2 linked regions of the Alligator mississippiensis genome follow. The protein of the gene in region 2 interacts with the protein of the main gene of each other region in a biochemical or structural test. Links are inferred from orthologs where the notes say so. Each region holds a gene or a part of one and is shown on either strand. Other genes may lie near its edges.

Region 1 (7,921 bases), about 7.4 Mb from region 2:
CTGGGCTTTGGGCAGGTTTTCATTCCTGTTTTCCTGGTCTCCAACTATTTCCTTTTTTGCAAATAGCCTCATTTCTACCTTGTATTCTATCACTGTAATGTCTCCCTTTAGCTTTCCTGACCCTGCTTTTGTCCCCCTCCCCTCTCTGCTTTACCTTTCTGCTTTACCTTTTGTCTTTCTAATTTCTATTTATTTATATTCTCACTGATATCCTGCCACACTTTAAGCTTCTCTCATTCCTTGGACTCTCAGAACAGCAGAAGGACTATACCTGAAGAAGGGTTATTGCACCCCAAAGCTTGCCAAGAACTTTTTTCCAACTACTCAGTTGGTCTAATAAAAGCTATCACATCTATGCAAAGAACCTTGCCTGCCTGTTCTTCATAAGGCCCCTTCTGGCCCTACTTTTCTCTGATGCTATATGCCTAAAATTTGTTCGACCTGTCTGCTCTAAAATAACTTTAGCCGTACTGTTATACTGTCATACCATTAACATACTGTCATACTGTTAACATCATAGGTCCACTGTTTGTAGCTGAAAGTACAATGGGGAAGTTACCAATAAACCTTTAAGAAGAGGGAAAAAACTACTTATGTAATACATAGATAGCTTGTTTTGCTAACATTTTGGAGAAAGAAAACTCAAACATGCTTTCATTCTAGAAAAGTAGGTAGAACAGAATAAAAAAAATAATTGAATAGTGATAAAAGTTACTAATCAGTGCAAGCTTTGGGTTTCTACAATTACTAATTCTTCTGCTAATATAATTATGAGTAAGCACACTTATACTGAAGACCGTATTGACTCAGTTTTATTTCAAAGCAGACTTTGAATATCTGTGAAAATGACTTGATTCTCTAGTATAGCAAAACACAAGCTATAGCAGGCATAGGGGAAATATCTGGGAATTCCAATAAAGTGACATTCAAACATGCCAGGTTTTGTTAGGTCATTTCTGCTTCATATTTATTTTATTTTGTCAAGCAATCAGGCAGATTCCTGCTGTAAAGACTACAGAATTCCCTTACTCTTTTAGAAATACTTGGTCCTTATTCCCTAAGGTATATTGAGTGGTACATATAGAGGTGATTACATAACAACTAAAAAAAGTCTCATTTTTGTATATTGTGTGTAGGGTTGTGGGGGTAGAGGGTGTGTGTGAGGGATGGGTGTTGTGGAGGTGCGCACATGTGTGTGTCAGAGAGCTGCCTGTGTGCTAGGTTCTGTAACCTGGCCAGGGGTGGGGGGAAGATGAGTAGGGGGCACATGTGGGGGCCCACTCTCTCTCTCTATCCAGCCTGTGGCTGCCCACTCAGTGCTTCCAATGGAGCTAAGCCCTGCCTGCTCCTATCTGGGGCAGCTTGCAACGTACTCCCATTCCTGGCCAGCCCAGGTACTGCTTGGCTCCCACCACCTCCAGAGGTTCCTCCTCCTCCTGCCCCTTCTGTGTTGCTCTGGGCATCAGGTAGCACGGGGAAGTGGCAGCAGCCATGGAGATGTGTGCCAGGCATCACACGCTCACACAGAGTGTTAGCCTCTTATTCTGCATCTGTAGTCATGTATCCTTGAGTGTGGCATCAAGAGGTTGGGTGCTAGTGAGGAAGCTCCTGTGTGACTTCAGACACTTATGTGCTGAGGGATGGTCACACATTGGGTGTCTCACATTTTTAGTTTGTTTCCATCCTTCTGTCCTACTAGCCACTGCTCTTATGATGTCAGGTGGAGTGATGCCATCCAGCAGGCACACACTGTTTAGGCTGGCAGGCTTCAGAAATCCTGTGATGTATTGGCTGCTATCATGAAGTCAAGGTGCTCAAGTATGGATGTCTCCCCTAAAAGACAAGTTACAAGGACGAGTTACAACTTATAACTTAACTGGTTTTAAGGACATCCATTAAATGGTATGTCCTCAGCTGAGAAAGAGCAAAAGGAGTAAACAGAAAGTGATTTTCCCCAGGAGTTAACCACAGGAGGGAGCCAGGGAGCAGGAAGCTTGCACAGCCCATTAGTAGATGTGCTGGGTATCTTTTTTTGGTTTGTTCTCTCTCTCTCACAGCCCAGGTGTCCTCCAGAAAGCAAAGGAGCCATAAATGGAGACTGGATCAAGCAGTCGTGACTTGTGTGGAAAGTGCCATGTTTGTGTTCCTCCCAGAGCAGGGGTTGGCAACGTTTTTAGGCAGAGTGCCAAAACCCACACAACCTTGATTTGTAAAATGTTGGTGTGCCAGGGGCAGATGGCAGGGGAGCTGTGAGGGACCTGATCCTTGTTGTGGCAGCACAGCCCTGGCCCCTTTCTCAAGGCATGTGTGCCGCACAAAATGTCTTTGTGTGCTATGCTCTGGCACTTTTGCAGGGGGTCACCAACCCCTGTCCCAGAGGGTTAAAACCACTTAATCTGTACTAAGTATAAGCTGGTGTCTGTCTTGGAGGAAAAGATTGAAAGGGTGGAATCACAGGTGTCCACACTATTAAGGAAAATGAAGGTTTCTTGGACAGGAGTTATGAGGGGCTGGCGCTGGAGAGACCCAAGGGAAAAGAAGAGATGACTTTTCTGGAAGAAGGAGAGTCCCCAGAATTCAAGAGAAACCTCCTGAAGTCAGCAACTGCTTTCAAGCATTGTGTGGTGGAAGGGCTGAGGAGGAAAAGGCAGAGGGCAGGACAGCAGCAGGCTAGAGCTGAAGGATGCAGCAGTCTGGAGAGCAGGAAGTACAGTGTCCTAGGGATAGAGGCTCTGAGGCCTGTGCACCAAGAAGGAAGAGAAGAGCGATAGTGGTTGGGGGGGACCTTCTGTGGGGGATAGAAAAACTCATCTGTTCTCACACAGGGGCTCTGGAGCCCAAATCCAGGGAAGCCTGCCACAGCTCATCCCTCCCTCAGGCCACACCCTAGCCCTGCTTGTCCGCCTGGGTACCAGCCATGCTGCTAGCAATGTCACCCAGCAGGTCAGGCGACCAGTGCCATAGCAAGGAATTTTGGTGCCCAGGACAAGCCCACAGTGGCAGCCTGTCCTTGCCCCATGCACAGATCCGGGGGCACACAGTCCCCATGCTTGCCCGGGGGTGCACGCGGCGGTGGGATCTGCCCTCCCCCCTGTCCCCACGCCCCCCTAAATGAGCCACTCATGGCTCTGTCCTGTGCCCCACCCTGGCTGGGCAGCTCCTGTTGGCACCCCGTCACTTCGGCGCCTGGGGCGGTAGCCCTGCTTGCCCTGCCTTGCTACGGCACTGCAGGGGACACTAGGAGGCAGGTGGACTGAGAAGCTTAGAGGCAAGCAGTCTCATCCGCCCTCCCTTGGGCCTGCAGCTCTTGCCCCTGCCCTGCTGCTCCAAGGCGGTGGTGGGGCCACGAGGCGGGAATGAGAAAGTCACTCAGGCGCAGGCCATAGAGAGTGCCAGGAGGGAGTCCAGCAGTGCCCCTCAGCTGGCACTCTCTGAGGCCTGCTTAATTTATGGTGCTTTATAAATTTAAACACTATAAATTAAGAGGTGCTTAATTTATGCCCACAGCTGGGCAGGTCGCTGCTTTGCTTTGCTTGGCTCCAGCCCGGCTGAGCAAAGCTGCAGGCACAGCATTGCCAGGCCTTAAATACGAAATTATTGTATTGGAAGTTTAAAATGATCAATTTGCTGAAAAACTTCAGTATGCTGACAAAATATGCCCATCAGCTGCAAATAAATCTTCTTGTTGACTTTATAGCGTTCACTGGAAACTGTTTGGAGCGAGGGAGAAGTGGGCCATCAAAGTGGAAGTCTTGCTCTGTTTTGAGGCCAGCAGCCCTGAGACTGCGTTGAGAGCTAACCCAAAAGTGGGCTCTCGACCTCCTGAAGACTCAGGACAAGCGCAGTGGCTTCTTAACTTGGCAGGGGAAATACCATGCATCTGTGCAAACAAGGTCTGTGTTTTTACCTGTCTGTGAGCATATTCTGAAAGTGGAATTTAGGTCCTGACTTCTGACAATATGTTCCACGTATCTCGAAGAAAAACTGCAAGAAGGCAGTTTTCCCGAACCACTCCTCTGGTGTGGTTCAGTACTCACCGAGGTGCGCAGCTTTAAGCCCAGTTGATGGAAAAGGGAGTCTCCTCCCTTGCTTATGACTGAGGGCAAGCAAAACTTGAGGGCGACTAGGATGCCAGCCAAAGGATTTGGAAACATCTGAAGCCCCAGATGTGGGTGGCGGATGTTTGCCAGTAGCAGGGCCCCTTACGGTTCTGGACTCTTGGATTTGGAATGAGTTGGGGCTAATTTGGCCTGGACTACAAATGAAATGAAAAAAACCAGCAAACCCCAAAGGGGGTTCAGGCTCCCCGAGAGCGGCTTGGGCTCTGCATCTGCTGATGCCTCAAACCCACGAGCTGCCTCACAGGCGGTGGCAGAGTTTGAACGCGGTTTGCTCTGACGAATCGCACCAGGCTGAAGACGGGCGCAACGCGGGGGGTGCGGCGGGCGGGCGGGCAGTGGCGGGGCCGTGGCGCCCCGCCCGTGGTCACTCCCCCGCCGCCGCCGCCCGCGGCTGCACTCGGCCAGGCCGGAGCGAGCGAAGCCACCACTAGCAGCAGCAGCGGCAGCAGCAGCCCGGGCGGCCCCGCCATGAGGCCGCTGGCGGGCGGCGGGTGCCTGCTCGTCCTTCTGGCGCTCGCCGAGGCCCGCGTCTGTGAGTGCCGCGCTCCCGCGCCCCAAGGGGCAGCAAGGGGGGGGGGCGGACTGGGGGCCTGTGGCAGCCCCGCGCTCGCAGCGCCGCCGGGCGCCCCCTCTGGGCCGCCTCATGGACGGGGCACCTCCACTCCCTGCCCCCCGGGCGAGGGCCGCTGGGAGCTGTAGGGACACACGCACACACACGGGCCCACACAGGCAGGGATATAGACATGCACAGAGACGGGCACGGGGACACACACATGGACATGGACACGCACAGGGAGGGACACACGCACAGAGACAGGAACACACACAGGGATGCATAGTCACAGACAGACAGACAGGGACACACACATGGACACAAGGACACACACTGACACACACAGATGGGGGACACAGGCAGGGACACACACACAGACAGGACTCACACAGGCACACGCACAGGGATACACAGTTCCAAACACAGGACACACATGGACACAGGGACACACACAGACAGGACATGAACACATGCATAGAGACAGGGACACACACAGGGATACACAATCACAGACAGACATACAGGAACACATACATGAACATGGGGACACGCTGACACACAGGGTACACGCATGGACATGGACACACAGGCAGGACACGTACACACGCAGAGACAGGGTCACAGACACGGGTACACAGGCACACAGGGCACACACATGGACACAGGGACACACACAGGTAAGGGCACACACATGGACACACACAGACACAGGGGCACACACATGGACACCCTGCTATCAGGGGGAGACTATTGGGCATACCTCAAGTTGATTTTGAGGGGGACCTATAGAGAAACCAGGGGCGCAAGGTCATAGGCTTCAAGCACAGAGCAGGGCACACCAGGCAGCACCCACTGGCCCTTGAATGAGTCCAGGGAGCCCATGGATGCTGCCCAGTGAAGCTCTGCCCAGAGATGTGGGTGCACAAGGGACATGAATGCAGCCCCGCCGTCCCCAGGAGCCCTCCCAGCCAGAGCCTTCTTTCTGGTCAGGTATACTGCCAGCTTCGCTTGGGGCACTGTGTGACACAGGAGTCTGGGGCTGGGGCCACTGTGCAACACACTACACTGGGCAAGGTTGACCTGTGGCCTGATGCAGTCATCAGCAGTTCTTATGTTCTTATTTTTCTGCGGTCCAAAAAGGGGTAGGAACCGAGAATTGGCATTTTCTGAGGGGCGCATTGAGCTTATCAAAAGGTGTCTCAGATTTGTGGAGGGATGCCTTGATTCCACACAGGTTGAGAACCACTGTTTTAACTGCTAAAATGTGCTCTCCTGGCACTAGAACTGCCTCGACAATGCAGGTCACTGAGCTTTACCCCTTGCTCAAGATTGGGAGTCTGAAGGATAATGTGAGTTGTGACCAAAGAATTGCAAATGGCAACATCCAAGTGCTATAATGTTTTGTTTTTTTTATTCCAAATTCTTCGCAACAGAAGAATCACTCTGTTCTTTTTGAGAATGGAGGGCTGGTCTTTTCTGAGAGGTGCCCTGAGTCTATCAAAGGGGGCCTTGACTCTGTAGAGGGCTGCCTTGAATCTAAATAACTTGAGACCATAAAAAACCCCCAAATCAAAAACAAAACTATATAAAAGCACTTGGATGTTGGTGCTTCAGATTTACTACTCATTTATTTTCTTCATTTGAGCAATTATTGTCTGAGGGTTGACTGAACTGCACCAGTCCAAAGCTGCATACTTAGGTGATGCTTTCCAGCTGGGTAGGGTCATGGCTGCTAATCTGGTTGCAGACATAAAGTGAGATGAGGGGAAATGAAAAGATGTGCCTGGTGTCCACACAACTTCTGTGGGGGCATGGGCAACTGATGCCTCCTGAGTCTGGGGGGGCACCCGCAGAAGCAGGTATGGAGCTGGCGAGCACCCACAGATACCGCTGGTGGCATTGGTGGCAGGGCTGGTCCTGTCAGGGGGATCATGTGGCTTCCCCTCTCCCCGCCCCCGGTGATTCCCCTACCAGTCGCCTATACGTGGGATGAAGAAAAAAATATTTAAGGGGTAGCAATGTTAGACTGGTGTCGTCTGTTTGAACACTAGACTCAGCTCTGAGTCTTTTGTTGGGCCTGCAGGTCTGGACGTGCACAGATAAGGAGCACTTGCTGTTACCAATGAGTATTCTTGTGAGATCTTGAGTTTTTAAGAAACGGCAGAATTTTAAAATTACACTTCTTATTCTGAGTCCAGTGTTAGAAACAGCCAGCTTGGTGAAAGGGAAGTAATTAGTGGCAGTAGCAAAATAAGAGCTGCAAAGAATGTAAGCCTGGTTTTGACCTGTTTTACTAATGATTAAACCTGTAGAAGAAAAGCTAATGTTTACTATTTAAGCCTTAGTTGAAATGCTAGAGGATTTCTGACTGTGAAAATGACAGTAAAGCAGGATGAAAGTTCATTTCCTAACTTATTTTTGTGTAGATCATGGAAAAACCCCCATCATTTTCCTCCCTCTGTATGTTTCTTTTTTTTTTGTTTCTTTTGGTTTCCCTTCTTCATTATTTCTCCTGCCACGTTTTTCCATCAACAATTACATTTATATCTGAAAATAATTGTCAAATCAGTGCAGACCCCTTTGTTCCAGCTGGTCCTGTATCCTAGCTGTTGCCCTGACTAATTAACCATGCCAAGTAATGCTAAGAAAAAGGGCTAATGAACACACGGTCCCATACAGATTGTGGCTGGTGCTTAATTTATGCCCCTGAAGCGTGAGAATGGATCTCTTAAAAACAAACAAACAAACATTACTGTATTTATTGTAACCAGTTCCGCTGTTCTTATCCATGTAAATGATGAATCTGTTTTGAATCAAACTATTTTTGTCTGTAATAGTGGGCATCACTTTGAAATGGTTGCAACCCTTAAAAAACTCTTTTAATTATGTAGCTTAAATGTGCCACCTTTTAGTTTAATCAAGAACCCCTTAGTTCAGTGGTGCTCAACATTTTTCCCTGATGGGCCAGATGGGCAGTGTCTGGTCAGACCACAGGCCAGTGGAGGGCAGGGGTCAGCCTGGCCTGAACCCCGCCTTGCAGGGGGTTAAGGGAGCTTCACTTGGCCCTTGTGGTGATGGGGTGGACTTGACTTGCATCTGGTGGGGAGGAGGGGAGCTTGACCCAGCCCTGCAGGGGGAAAAGGGGAGTGACTTGTCCCCAGGGGAGAAGGGAGCATGTCTCACCCCGCAGTGCGGGGAGGAGAATGGCGTATAGCCCAGTCTCAACCCAATCCTGCTGGGGAAGAGG
Region 2 (7,947 bases):
GAAAACGACTGAGCTGAATCAGCAAAGAGAAAGGAATTTAAACAGAAAAATGTGAATGTTGAATGGGGAATGTTTAAGTATGTGCTAGCAAATATACATGCTGTAATCAAAGAAGAAGGCTACACTCGCCTAAAAAAAATCATTCTGGCTATTAAAAAAAAAACAACCAACAAAACAAAACAGCCACTCCCTCTTCCCCCTTCCTCCAACCTATAAATAACTTAACAGTTAAAAAAAAGTTGTTGACAATAAATAGAAATTAGATGCTAAGAACTATAGAAAATGAATAAGAGAAATAAACTCATGGTTAGAACAAATAAGAATACTGAGGAGTTCAAGTATATCTGGGATAAAATGGTAGAATTACCAAAACCAATGCAGAATGTTCAATAAATATTTCTATTCTGCATGGAGGGGGGAATCCAGATGATGCATCCATATTGTGAGAAAATAATTTCCCTTGTAGCAGTAACTAAGGAGACTGTTTGTTTGTTTTCCAATATCTACTCAAGTTAGACATCTGTTAAATAAGGAAGTCTGGATAACTTGCATGCAACAATTTTTAAATGATCTAACCATGAATACCTATTTTCAATCAATCTTGAAACACTGATGACGTTTCAGAAGACTAGATGAAAATTAATGTTGGGCTAGCATTAAGGAGGAAGTGAAATATCCTGGATAATCATAGACTTTGTCAGCCTGACACTGATCTCAGGGGAAAATCCTGGAATGTCTGATACAGGATTTGATTAATCAAAAAGTAAACTAGGATAATTACAGTCATTTAATATCAATTTATGGAAAATAGATCCTGCTTAACTTGACAGCTTTTTCAATGAGTTAACAAACTGTGTTGATAGAAATAATAGGATTGATGCAATATACTTCTTCAAGTTGTTTGACTTGTTACAACATGATATTTTAATTAAGAAAGTAGAATAATATGTTTAATGCGCATTAGTTTTGTTTTTTTTTTTGAGGGGGGGAGGGTCTGGATTTAACTGCCTTACTGATTGGTCTTGACATAAAATTGTAAACAGAAATTGTAAATCATCAGCAAGTGAGGGTGTTTCTATTGGGCTCTTTCAAGGGTTAGTTCTTGGCCCAGTGTCATTTAACATTTTTTATCAGTGATCTGGAGAACATAAAATCACTGTAGATTAAAAGAAGGTTAGAGAAGTGGGAAATAATGATGTGAAAACACTGATACAAAGTGACTTGGTTTGTTTAAAATGGTTGTAAGCAAATGTGTTTCATGATGGCCAAATGTAAGGTCATGCATGCACAAATGAGCGTAGTCCTGATTTACATGATTAAGCGGTCTTGGCCTGGGATGAGATGACGGAAAAAGATTTGGGATGATGATTGATAATCAGTTGGAGAGAGGTACTAGTCTGAAGTCAGTCAAAATGCAGGGTAGATGTTCTGTTGAACGTAACTTCCATGGTATGACATTGGGGTTAAAAGGGCTGATGAGATCATGGAACATGTAGATAATAGAAACTCAAGTAGAAGTAGAGCACTTCTATTGCCTCTTTATTTGATACTAGTATGACTTTTACCAGAGATGGGAGAAAGTTCAGAGGGGAGCCATAAGAAGGATGAATGGTTTGGGGAAAACATTTGGCCTGTGCAAAGTGGCTAGTATTCGGATTCAGCCGATTTGGGGGACAGTGATTCAATTCGGTGATTCGAATCACTGTCCTGAATCCATTCAGTCAAATCTGATTCGGAGATTCAGCTACTTCCAAATCAGTGGAACCTTGGAATCACACAGGCCTCATCCCCTGCCCACCCCAGCTCCTGGCTCTTTGGGGGTGGGGAAATGCCTGGCACTCACCGGCTGCTGCCCAGCGGGGGGGCAGTCCCCACAACCCCTCCCCCCACTGCCCTGCACCATGTGGGGGGCTCTACCATGAGCCCCCTGACCCCTACCCACTCTTCCAGCCCCCTCATGGCAGAGCCCCCCATGTGGCATGGGGCTGTTGAGGGCAGCGGGGATAGCCCCCTGCCTGGTAGCACCCAGTGACTAGGGTTGGTTGGTTTTTTTTTAAACAACTGGGAGCTGGGGTGTGTGGGGCAGCCATTGGTGGTGGGGGGGAGGGGGAGGCTGGGAGAGCAGGCGGGGGTCAGGGGGTGCTCGGGGGGGCTGGGGGAGCAGACAAAGGATGGGGCCTGGCCTGGGTCCCCCCATGGTCCCCTCCCCCCTCCTCCAGCCCCCGCCACCCCCTACTTACCAGCATGGAGTCCAGGTCCAGCTCCCTGCTGCAGCCAGCAGGGACTACCCAAATCGCCGAAGCTCTGTGAATCTTTTCCGAATCGATTCAGACCTTTTAACTGATCCCCTGATTTGATTCAGCGATTCAGCCACTGAATCAAGCCAAATCTCCTCCAGATTGAATCAGCACCTGAAGCTTTGCACAGCCCTAGAAAACATGTCTTATTGTGAAGGACTCAGTCTACCTAGTTCATCCAAGAAAAGGTTATGGGATGGCTTGTTGAGTATGCAAATATCTACATGGGTGCAGAAATTTGATAGTGGTGTATTCAGCCTAGCAGGCAAAGCTGTAGCAAAGTTTGGAAATACCCATATTAGGAAGAAATTTGTAAAAGTTGGCACTTCAGTCTCAAAGAAAATCATTGCCAGATCTAACAATTAGAAGTTGAAGCTAGAGATGAGTCAGATTAATTCCAGACATGACACACGCGAGAGGTGCTATATATTTTGCAAACTAGGAACAAGACATGCTGATTCAGCTATAGGGACACTTTTGGATGATTTACGCCAGTAGTGACAAGGAACAGAACAGTGTCCTGCAGCCCACCTCTGGAACAGTGGTGCTGCAAGTTCTGAGACTAGAAGGTTATGCAGTGGGTTGTTTCCTCTTGGCCAGAAAGTATTTCTCTCCAAATTCAGAGGTTCAGCAGTTATTACTTGACCCATAAGGGTATTGAATGAATACCCTCTGGCATTGGAATTAAGAGCTTTAAGGCTAGTCTGTTAGCAAGATGCTGAGGTTGGACTAGAAATTAGGTGCATGATGTTAATGAGGGTAAATACCCTTTGGAAAGAATTGTAGGGGATGCAAGTGCCTTCTAAACTGTACACTTTGGTCCAACCACAGATGTTGGACTTGAAGCAAATATTAATTTAGAGAAGGGCCCAGTTTACACAGGAGACCCAACCTAGATCATTATGGAACTTTCTGGCTTTAAAATCTACAAAAGCCCTGGGGATAGAAGATAGCCATGCACAGAACAGAAACAGCATGGACAAGTTCCCCCTGTGCAGTCCTGCAAATATACCCCAAAGGAAGAATTGCTCTGCCTTAGTTGGCAAGTAATTTGGAGAAATTAAAATTTTGTTTTTGTTTTAGTGTGTTTACTTTTTTTTATAAAGGGCACATTTCAGTAAACCTTTTTTGATTGTTTAAGCAGTGACTTGATAATGTTTTACCAAAATCTTAGTTCTACACAAAAAGATTACAATGTTTCTATTTTATGTTCTCAGTAAAATAAATGTACATCAAAGAAGGCATGAAAATGTTAATGACTGAATTTGAAAAAGTCAACAAAAATTGCCATAGGAAGAATTTAATTCAAACATTTTTGACTGGTCCTACTTACAGGTGGGCCAGGAGTCTGAGTAGGTGAGGGAAGGAGTTATATATCCCTGGCTTATTCGGATCTGTCTGGTTGGCTTTCAGGAAGATGGTCCACAGTGCCAGTTATCCCTTGATGTGGACTCTCTGTACTGGGAACTAAAGTGAAGCCTATAATTTCCTTCCCACAGGCCACCAAACTGGTCATGAAGTAACAGCTTTCAGCAACTACAAATCTAGGTTGAATTTGCATCATGATTTAGTGGTTCAAGGCTCTGTGGCTATGAGCAGTTCCCAGACCCTTCAAATGCCCACCCTGCTGGGGATAAAGGGTCTTCCTCTCTCCTCTGGAGATTGGGGTGATCCCTTGGGTGCTAGGAAATTTTCATCTCTCTAGCTGGAACACTCACCAGGGCCAGCCCTAAGATGTGGTCCAGTTTTCCTGGTCAAACTGGAGAATGTTTCTGCATGCTTCCTAACCCTACACTTCAACCAAATGGGCAAAGTAGAGAGTCGAAAAGCTCAGTGTTGAATCAACTCAATCTTCTCAGGCTAGTCTAAGCTGAGTATATTGAACCAATAAACAAGTGAACAGGCATTCACTTTTGATTCCAAAATGCAGCCATATATCTGCAGTGGCCCAGGTCAAAAGCTGGGGGGTGCTAAAGCACACCACCTTGTTCTGTTGGAGCAGACAGCTTGGGCCAAGGCTAGCCTGCCCACTGTGTGAAAGGAGGTTGGCAGGGGAGGTGCAAAGCATCCTGGGATGCTGGGGGACTGTGAGCTACCTTGAATCTGGAGGGCATCTGTGGCAGAAGTTCAATAAACTGATTTAACCTAAATCAGTTAAGTCTGATACTACATCCATCCAGTTTATCTTAAACCAGTTTTGGCCACTTTGAAAGCAGTTTATGTGCGCTGAACTTCTGTTATGTTACAGATTTCAACTGGTTTCTAATCACTTATACAAGTTTAAATGTATAATAAGTATATTGCTTATACCTGTTTATGTGCAATTCTGTCCCTAGCCATAAACATTGGCTTTCTGGCTTGCTTCTTCTAACACCCTCCTGCCCTAGTAAATGACTACCCTGTGAACATTTTATGCTGTCTTGTAGGGTTCAGGCTACTTTTCTACAGGGAAGATATGAGGGGGTGCTCACTTGAAAATCAGCCTGAAGAACTGTTTATCTCCACTAATGATTCCCATCAGCGGGAGGAGGGGGAGGAGGAGGTGAAGAGCAGTGACCTGGGCGTTGCAAATACTACTACTCTTGCATCACTAACCACAGTGAATGCATTTCCTAGTCGGGAAGTTCTGAGAAGCAACCACAAAAACAGCAGCCACTGCCTGATGCATCTCCCAGAGCAGCATCAGGAGCAGCTTGCACCATGACAAACAGCTGCAATCACCTCCTCCTCTGGATGCTACTGGGTGTGTGGTGGCTGAGTCTGGAGCAGTGTGTGGTGAGAGCAGGTCGGATCAGGGAGCATTACATAGCAGCACAGATCACCAGCTGGAGCTACAGACCAGAACCTAAGGAAGAGACCAGGTAACAAACAGTGCAGGAAGAAGAGGGGTGTATCTACCCTCTTCTTGTAACTGATGGGGATTTGAGTCTCTTAAGGACTTAACACTTGATGGGGCTAAAAACCAGGTCTACCCCCCCCAAGTCAATAGGAATCTTTCCATTGACTCCAGCTTGGATCAGGCCTTTAATGTAGTACTGTGTTTTGAGGTAATTTTTACCTATCCAAATAGACAGGTGTGATATCCACCCCCCACCTCCCCCAGTTCTTTGGGCAGTTTTTAATGATACTTCATTAACAAAGTCAATCCTGAGCTTAAGTAGGCTTGAGCATGCTCTGATGGTCTCTGAAATGCAAAACTAGAACTCTTGGTTCAGAGATGATACCTTTTATTAGACCAACTAAGGAATCACAAAAAAATATATATTTTTCTTTGTGCACTCCAAGCCTCTGTGGGAATCATGCTTGCATAGTGCTGCCAATTCTTGCTGTTCTTTCCTGAGACTTCTGATATTTGATGCTTTTCTTTTACAGTGCCAGCTCCTGGAGCTAGTGATAGAAATCAGAATCTCCACTTTTGTTCCAAACAAAACAAAAAATGTAGTTCTCCTCATTAAAAGCTTAAACATCAGGAGGCAAATCAAAAAGAACACCATGAGAACATCACAAGATTTTTTAATGATTTTGTTTGACAGTTTTGCTTTTATGCCATGAGTGCAGCTTGGTGGGTTTGAAAGGATTATGAAATCACATGGGGTCTACAAATTGTGGAGGTAATATAGAGCCTTTCAGTTTTATTCTTCCACTGCAATCTAATTGAGGACCTTTGCCAAAGTCCCTTGACTTCAACAGACCTTAGTCCAAACCTATAGTGAGCAAAAGCTAGGGTTGTTTCTAGACAGCTTTTTGGTAACCTTTATAAAATGCTTTATGTGAGAGTTTGGGTGAGCAGAGATTACAGAGTCAAATGTTTGCTTGGATCCTTTTCCAGCAAAATGTATTAAGCTGGTGTTACTTTTACTCCTCATTTTAGATTGAATTGCAAAATGATTGGCCTACACATGCAAAATATACTCTGAAAATCATAGCCTATTAGTGTCCTTGTATATCACTAGCAGAATGAACAGGACTAGAGCAGCTATGAGCCTAAAGCCAAAACGCAGGTTTATTTAAAAACAAAAGAAAACGAAAAAAACTCTGCTGGCTTCTAGAGTTGTGCAAGGCTTTGGACTCTGCTTCAGATCTGGAGAAGCTTCGTATGCTTCTGCGTCTGAAGCAGCATGTCTGGATCGAAGTGCTGACTTCGTTAGGCTTTCCAAAGTGGTTCAGAGCCGCTTCGGAGATCCGGCCATAGGGTTTAATGGGGGGATCATTGAAATATCTACAACTTTGTTGTTTTTTGTCTGATTTGGATGACATTTGCAGGGGTGGTAGCCTCTGCTGAGAGCATGAGGCCTGCCAATTTCAAGAAGATTGGTATAGGGGTTTGGGAGGAACTGCACCCCAAATTCTTGAAAGCAAAACTCGCATCACATCTATGTGTTACAACACGGGGGGGGGGGGGGGGGGGTAAAAACTGCAGGGGTGGTAGTGCCTGGTGAGGCCACAAAGCCTGCCAAGTTTCAAGAAGATTGGTGCAGAGGTTTGGGGGGAACTGCCCCTCAAGCTTTTGACAGGCAAAACTTGTGACTTAGATGGCCCTGTGTGTGTTAAGGCACAGCAGGGTGAAAGCTGCAGGGGTGGTGGCCCCTGCTGCGGCCACGAAGCCTGCTAGCTGTCGAGGAGATCGGTGCAGGGGGGTTCTGGGGCCCTGCACCCCTAGCTGCTGACAGGCAAAACTCATGACATGGGTGCTTGTGCAACTGACTGTGTCTGTCTTGGGGGGAACTACTGCAGGCCTGGCTGCTAAGCTACTGTGTTACCAGTTACCAATCAATCATGATTCACTGTGGGACCTGCTCAATACACGGTTGCTAGCTAATGTAGCCCGTTAATTAGCAACAATTAACACCTACAAAACCCCACACTAAGGAGAGGAAAGAATCAATATGATCAACTGCCCCAAGATACAGACAGTCAGTTGCACAAGCACCCATGGCACAAGTTTTGTCTGTTAGCAACTAGGGGTGCAAGGCCCCAGAACCCAGAAGCCCTTCATCAGTCTCCCCAACAGCTGGCAGGCTTCGTGGCTGCAGCAGAGGCCACCATCCCTGCAGTTTTCACCCCCCTGTGGTGTAACACATACACCTGACATGAGTTTGCTTTCAAGAATTTGCAGTGCAGTTCCCCCCAAACCCCTGCACCCATCTCCTTGAAACTTGGCAAACTTTGTGGCCTCACCAGGGGCCACCACCCCTGCAAGTTTAATCCAAATCAAACAAAAAACAATGAAGTTATAAATATTTCATTGATTCCCCATTATACACTATGGCCGGATCTCCGAGGCAGCTTCAGAGCCGCTTTGGCCGAATCGAAGCAGAAACCCGGTCTGGAGCTCCAGATTGGATCCCTGGCATCCGAAGCGGCCAGATCCGAAGCCAGATCAAATAGCTGCCTACTCGCACAGGCCTACTAGCTTCACTGAGACTTCTTCAAGGATTAGGATTGGAGAGCTAGTCTATATAGGTTCTTACACTGCTGTCTCATCACAGTAATATCTGTGCACCTTCTTATAGTGCATTAGGTGATGATATGCTGTATCATGTACTATTTGTTCTCTCCCTCTGGAGGGAAGAATTGTGTGTAGTGAAGTTTTTTTGCGTAGGGGAGGGAGGGATTGGTTTGCTTTGTTTGGGAAATTTGGGTCTTTTTT

What was found. The genes of interacting proteins can lie anywhere in the genome.
Region 1: the proteins of F5 (region 2) and PROS1 form a complex in vitro, tested with the Homo sapiens proteins (2 studies listed by BioGRID). The link is inferred for Alligator mississippiensis from reciprocal best matches to the Homo sapiens genes F5 and PROS1.

What each region holds. Positions count from the first base shown.
Region 1 is NC_081824.1:254,487,805-254,495,725, forward strand, and holds the start of PROS1 (vitamin K-dependent protein S), read left to right. Parts: upstream 1-4,435; 5' UTR 4,436-4,589; coding exon 4,590-4,653; intron 4,654-7,921. UniProt on the Homo sapiens protein: Anticoagulant plasma protein; it is a cofactor to activated protein C in the degradation of coagulation factors Va and VIIIa. It helps to prevent coagulation and stimulating fibrinolysis.
Region 2 is NC_081824.1:247,132,942-247,140,888, reverse strand, and holds the start of F5 (coagulation factor V), read left to right. Parts: upstream 1-4,704; 5' UTR 4,705-4,997; coding exon 4,998-5,158; intron 5,159-7,947. UniProt on the Homo sapiens protein: Central regulator of hemostasis. It serves as a critical cofactor for the prothrombinase activity of factor Xa that results in the activation of prothrombin to thrombin.